Rattus norvegicus: one gene and its partner. The protein of the gene in region 2 binds, or shares a complex with, the protein of the main gene of each other region. Links are inferred from orthologs where the notes say so. Each region holds a gene or a part of one and is shown on either strand. Other genes may lie near its edges.

The links.
Region 1: the proteins of Hypk (region 2) and Naa10 are in contact, whole or in part, in a crystal structure (PDB 6C95), measured with the Homo sapiens proteins. The link is inferred for Rattus norvegicus from reciprocal best matches to the Homo sapiens genes HYPK and NAA10. Residues at the interface, in NP_057484.4 of Homo sapiens: Lys27, His28, Ser30, Gly31, Asp34, Leu35, Arg37, Val38; in NP_003482.1 of Homo sapiens: Glu24, Tyr26, Lys29, Tyr30, Tyr33, Lys59, Glu134, Lys136, Tyr137.

Annotation. Positions count from the first base shown.
Region 1 is NC_086039.1:156,806,840-156,809,854, forward strand, and holds the end of Naa10 (N-alpha-acetyltransferase 10), read right to left. Parts: intron 1,729-3,015; coding exon of another isoform or gene 1,710-1,728; exon of another isoform or gene 1,695-1,709; intron 1,667-1,694; coding exon of another isoform or gene 1,654-1,666; exon of another isoform or gene 1,642-1,653; coding exon 1,557-1,641; intron 954-1,556; coding exon of another isoform or gene 863-953; coding exon 626-862; 3' UTR 539-625; downstream 1-538. UniProt on the Homo sapiens protein: Catalytic subunit of N-terminal acetyltransferase complexes which display alpha (N-terminal) acetyltransferase activity. Acetylates amino termini that are devoid of initiator methionine.
Region 2 is NC_086021.1:128,887,293-128,890,666, reverse strand, and holds Hypk (huntingtin-interacting protein K), read right to left. Parts: upstream 1,951-3,374; 5' UTR 1,926-1,950; coding exon 1,764-1,925; intron 1,406-1,763; coding exon 1,350-1,405; intron 1,079-1,349; coding exon 1,027-1,078; coding exon of another isoform or gene 1,019-1,026; intron 892-1,018; coding exon 796-891; 3' UTR 578-795; downstream 1-577. Other genes in the region: Serinc4 (serine incorporator 4), read left to right, coding at 2,493-2,591, 2,930-3,094, 3,249-3,374. UniProt on the Homo sapiens protein: Component of several N-terminal acetyltransferase complexes. Inhibits the N-terminal acetylation activity of the N-terminal acetyltransferase NAA10-NAA15 complex (also called the NatA complex).

The DNA of each region.
Region 1 (3,015 bases), on a different chromosome or scaffold from region 2:
CTTGGGCTAAGTAAGAGATCCTGTTTCACAAAAAAATTTTTTAAAAGGCTACAGATAGGAAAAGCCTGAGCAACTGGGTAACTGAATAGGCCAGGATCCAGCTAGGATCTCTCCAGATAAGTGCAAAGAGGAGTTGGACTTAAGCACTTGGGGTCCAGGAGGTATAAACTGGAGCTCCTACTGATGAGAGAGCAAGTATGACTAGGAGTAAAGGGCTGAGAGGGTAAAGCAATGCAGCAAAGAACATCAAGGTAGGGGAGCTGCCTCTGAAATGTGAGGCTGAATAGAAAACCCAAGAAATCATTTTGTTCAGCCCTAGAAAATTACTAAAGATGTTACAGAGATCTGTAGAAGGCCAGGAAAGTGACATGAGAATATGGCACCCAAGACAGTTTATCTGCCAACTCCAACTCAGTTGTTGAAGGAAGCCAGATTGGGGTCCCATCCTCAAACATTTGACTTGTGAGCTCAGTACGCTCTGGGCTGTGAAGATAGTATCCCTGCCATATAGGAGCTGGAAAAAAAGCATACCCCACTATGCACATTCACAAATTTCCCAAGGCCACTGGGTGACATTTATTGTAAAAAGCACATGGGGTGAGGTTGGGACCAGGTAGGGCAGGTTCTAGGAGGCAGAATCAGAGGCCTCTGAGCTGTCTTTGACATCTGTGCTTTCTGTGGTCTCACTGACCTCACTGAGGTCCTTGCTGTCCCCACCACTATCCTCAGCAGTCAGGCCCTTCTCCTCACGACAGGCCTCTCCTGAGCTCAGAAGCACGTTGCCTTTGTTCTCCGCCTTGTTCTCCATGGCCGACAGCACCATGTGCCTGCCCTTTTCCTTCAGCTCCAGGTGCCGCCTCAGCTGCCGCCGGGAGCCCAGAGGGAAGCGGGTGGAAAGAGACAGGGCCTAAGTCTCCAGACAGGAGACAAGAGGAGCCAGGCCCTGGGGCTGGCTGGGGGAAGGGACACAGTGAGAAGTGGTAGGGCCAAGGCAGGAAATAGGACTGGGTAGAAATGTAGTTCAATCCTACCTCTGTCCTAAGCCTGCTTCATCTGTAAAATGACATGAGTTCTATTGCCCTCAAATACGCTGCTGGGAAGCCCCCAAGACAGAGCAGTGCCTTTCCAGGAGGCTTGGTCAGAGAGACCCTTTCTCCCTAGCCCAGTTTAATCCTAGATCTGAGCAGGCTGCCCCCAACCATAGTAGTCCCAATTCCTCTGTTAAAAAAAAAATCTTCCTACTGTCTCTCCTATTCCACCCATCTCCAGACTTCTTCCCCAGAAAGCATCCCATGGCCTCCTTTACAGTCAATGAAGGCCATGCCCTGACTTGACAGCTTAGGGAGTAAGGGAAAGAGGGGCTCTGATTCCTAGCTTTACAACCACAAAAGCTGACACTCAGTCTCGGTCTTGCCTCTAGTCGCCACTGCCTCACTCTGTCTCACAGCTCTTTGACATCTGTACTTTCTGTGGTCTCACTGAAAATAGACACCTTTCCCAATTACAGAATCTCCTCTACTGCTGGAATTGCTGCCCTGGCCTGGCTGAACTCTTACCTCATCAGCCATCTGCGTGAGGTCCCGCTTCATTGCATATGCATCTTCCCCATCTGCATAGTATTTGGGCTCCACTTCGCTGATCCTGGGGGTAGGATCAAGACACATGCCTAGGGGCAAATTCTCCAGGTTCTTAGGCTACTGGGGTAAATGTCATCTCCCCCTGTAGGACCTTTGTAGAGGCAAAAAGCCAGTGTAAATGGGTTTCTCCTTTTTGTTTTTCATTTGACTGGATTCTTGTTCAACAGCTATGATAGTTTTCTCTGCTCTTCAAGTAAAGCCAAATAGCATGTAGCATCCAGGGCACTTCTGATTCCTAGACTTGCTACCACTTTGTCCCTAGCCCAACCATCAAGGACTTGTGTATTGAGTTGAAGTCCTTAATTCTGCCTTCCTCTCCCTGACCTGCTCCCTGTTATTTACTGAACACATAGTTCCTCTGCTAGGAAAGAGGGACACTGTACCTGCATGTAGATGGTCATCATAGACAACCTGGTTACTCACCAGATGGATGAGGGGAGGGAGGTGTGTGTGCACAATTAAGTATCCCTGACACTGGAAGAGAAACCCGTTGATGACCTAGGAAGGTTCCTTGCCAGTCTTTAGGGATACATGCTGGGTAACTTCCTCAGTTGCTTTCCATCTTATTTTTTTCAAAATAGGGTCTCTTACTGAATCTGGAACTTGTCCATTCAACTAGGCTTGTTGATTAGTGAACCCTAGGGATTCTCTTGTCTTAACCTCTTCAGCACTAGGATAATAGGTACAGGGCACTGTATGTGGCTTTTATACATGAGTGCCAGGCATCAAACACAAGTCCTCACAATTAAGCTATCTCCTCAGCACCCATCTTTTGAGACAGGGTCTTGCTATGTGGTTGAGACTAACCTGGAACTCCCTATGCTGGGACTGCAACCCACAGTCCTCCACTTTGAGTGCAGAGATTAAGAGACATGTACTACCATACCCAGCTGGGAACTGCTGACTTAGCAGGTAAAGCAGTTCCTGCCACAGAGGCATCTTAACTAGGTCAAAAGTCCCTCCATGAATATGGATGTTGAACCCAGAAAAGCTGAAGACCACCATCCTGTTCCAATGGTGTCATCTTCACTGGACCCCCTCAAAGTCTAGTGTGGCTCAGTGGTTCCTCAAGTTAGTCTATTCGAGCCTCACTTTCAAGTGGCACTAGGTACTACTAAGTCCTCTCTTCATAGAGATGGTCATGTCCAGAGTCCTGCCCTCAGCCATCAGAAACACTCAGAGCAATAGGTCCCTCATTGCTTTTGCTCATGGCCCCCTTTCCTTGCTGTCCCCTTTCATCTGCTCTTACTTGATGCTTCCTGGAGCCAGCCATTTCTCAGCCTTTGCTCATGCTCTAGTCTATCTCTCTTTACTCCTAGACTATCACAGAGAAGCCCTGTGAGTCCTTTACCACACTGCCCTTCACCAGTCTCACTAG
Region 2 (3,374 bases):
TGAGTCCCAGCTGCCTGTCTCAGCACAGTCCCCAGGGCATGGTTACAGGAGCATCCCACCACTCCTGGGTTTTTAGGGCATTAGTGGAAATCCAAACTCATTTTGTTTTTGAGGCAGGTACTTACTGAGTCATAGCTCCAGCCCTGATCCAACATTTTAATAAATGATGTTTCCCTTTCTAGAACCTGAATGTTTATTCCAGTTGCTTATAAACAGGAGCTAGTCTCGCTATTCCTAACATAGCCTTGAAGAGCTGGTAAGGGTAGCTGAATGAAGCAGCTCTCAAGTTAGGGAGGGGATCTGAGCTTGAAAACAGCCTGGCTTATACAGAAAGAACCGATCTGAGAAAAACAGATAGCATAAGCTATCCTAGAAACATGCATGTGGATCTTTTGCAGAGGATCCAAATGTACTCTATATTGGCAAGAGCGAGCTAGTCAGATGAGAGAAACTCACATACCACCTGGAATCTGCTGCTTAGAGCTGGGGAGATAACCTAGTGAAAAAGGGCACTTGAATTCCATTCCCATATGGTAGAAACACTATGGCAGGAGAGTGCCTAGACACACACACAGAATAAGGGTAATAAAAACAGAGCCTGTATTTGAACATTAGGTACTTCTTTACACTGATTGTTCATACGGTTTCATCAAGGTCCAACATAGAAACTGACAATAAAATAGGATATATAATGCATTTGATCTGGGATAAAACTGGAAAAAAAAAAAAAAAAAAAACAGCAAAACAGAACACTTTATTTCCGTAAATCAGTCCAGAATGTCTAAACACACTTTATCAGTTGGTTAGGGCAATAAGAGCCTCCACCACATTGCCCATGTGTTCCCTCAAGCTCCTTTCGGCTGCTGCTCGAGAGATCTCCATTTCTGTCATCTGCAAGAGGGAAAATCACGTCACTGAAGCCTCTTCTCAGGCATAAATTTTACAACAAACTTTGGCTCCACTTGTTTAAGGAACCCAGCGTGGGTAGAACTTCTCTTGTGAATCCATTAAAGCATTACTACTCACTATCAACTCCAGATCTTCCTTCTTGATAGTGACCTTCGCCAGTTCCTTCTCCCTGTAAATATATACATTTGTTTTCATTCTCTGCCTCTGCTATAAACTCCCAGAAGGAACACTCACAGGTACACACTGAAAATGAGTAGAACAGGTTGACTGAAAATAGCAAATAAACGCGCCCCTGGAAGTTTTACATTAAGATATCCAGGAACCTTTCCTTCCACTAACAACAAAGTTGTAACCCCTAGATCTTTAGGAGTTGGCTAAAGATTAAAACTTTCCCCCCCTGGAGAAGGAGGACCTACTGGTAGCGCTGGCTTTAAACTTACCGCTCCTGTTTGGCCTTTTGCTCCCTGGACCGTCTGTCTCCAATGACGGACATAGCCTGTAGAAAACACAAGTCTAATTACCTACCACCATGCGACCCAAATTTTCCCATCTAAAACACAACACCACAAATAAAAGCCACGTGGCTTTTCAGGTATTCACAACTACTAGTTTTCTCAAGACCAAAAGACTACGCTTCATTCCGTGCCCTTGAGATACATTTAGGTCCCATTTTTATCAAATTCTTAAGTAAACCGCAGACTGGTTGAGTGCTGTCGCTTAGCCTCGCCCTACTGCCAAATCCCACTATGACTATCAGGGGTCCCGGAGCCCCGGTGAGCAGCAAAACCAGTCAGTCTCTCCTCACTCCCGCCCCATTCTCAACCCCTCTCATACAAGCTCCCAGCCAACCTCACCGTCTCAAGATTCGAACTCTGGATCTCTTTCTCCTCCGCATAGTCAGTAACCCGCTCTAGGTCAGCAGCACCACTGTCATGTTTCCTTGGCTTCTCGGGAGGCCGCTCAGGGCCGCTGGTCTCAGTCTCTAACTCGAGCTCCACGTCTCCCTCGGTCGCCATTTCGATCTCACCGCGCCGCCGCAATAGGCTGCCGCTTCACAACTTCCGGCAACGCTCAGCTTCCGCCCAGATAAGGGGCGGGGTAGGGGCTGGACCACACCTTTGTGCCTGTCTTGAGAAGCTTCAGCTAGGAAAGAGGTTCGCTTTTGACTTCCTCTCCAGCTTGCTTTCTGCAGTCTCCTTCGACTGTCTGTTCACTACCCACACCAGTCAAACTCACTGTTCCTAAAAACAATCCCTTCACACAGACACACACACAAGGAATTCTGTCCAATCAAGGTGGCTAATCCTAAACCAATTAAAAAAAAAAACCTAATCCCCAGACCAGATAGGCCAACTGCTCCTAATCTTAGAAAACAGTCCGAAGCTCTGTGAAGGCATCTTCACAAGAGTATTTGCATCTACCACTTCCCGGTGATCTGTATTCATTTTATGAAAAACCCATGCTGCTGCCTTAAGACGGATGATTAGGCCAGCAAAGCGACTGTCCAATGGGTGAAAATCCTGAGAAGCTGCTGTCCCTCATCAGTTTTTCCAATACAGGATCTAACCTCTGGGCCAAAATTGATGGGTGCAAAAGACATCACAGGCCGTAGCACCACCCAGGGCTTTGCACAGCAGCACGGTGGAGTCAGCGATGTCGTAGTGAAAACCCCCTTCTATCAGGTGAGATGACATTTGGGAAGAGACTTGAAGAGATCTTTGCTTATATCTTAAGCAAAAGATAGCTAAAAAACTAGGAGTTCGGGACAGAAACCTGGTTCTTTGCCTGGGTAATCGGTAAACCTCTCATCCCAACCATAGATCATTAGGAAAAAGTAAGTGGTTCATGCATACACTGAAGTTTAAAGTTCTTGCAATGAAAACCTTACTAGTTCTCTGTGGAAGGTAATCCTACGTGGCTCATAACCAGACAGTGGGATGGAGGGTTTGGGAATTTGACCTTTGGTTAACCCTTTGAAAAACTCCCCATTGCTTCCTACATCTATCTGCTCTATCCCCAGGTGTCCTGCTGTGGGCCTGTTTCTTGGACCAGTGGCTGCCACTCTCTGACCGAGTCTACTTGTAGCCGCCTGTTCTACATCCTTCTCCACATGGGAGCCTCAGCAATCTGCTGCCTCCTACTTTCGAAGACAGTGGTAGAAAGGGTCTGGGGCAAAGCACATGGGGTAAGTGGGCAGGGGTTGCAACATGAGGAAAAAAAACCTGTTAAGATTTTGATTGGGAACAGGAAGCAAAGGAGTCAACCTAGCAGGGGAAAGTTGGGACCTGTCCATGCATTATGGCTTGCCCTTACTTTTCTCACAACCAAACTCCCTGCAGATCCAGATGCCCTCAGTGCTATGTGCCCACCTGTTCGGCAACTCTGACTGTCCAGTGCTCAGTGGTTCTGGGGCTGTGTATCGAGTATGTGCGGGAACTGCCACCTTCCACCTGCTACAGGCTGTG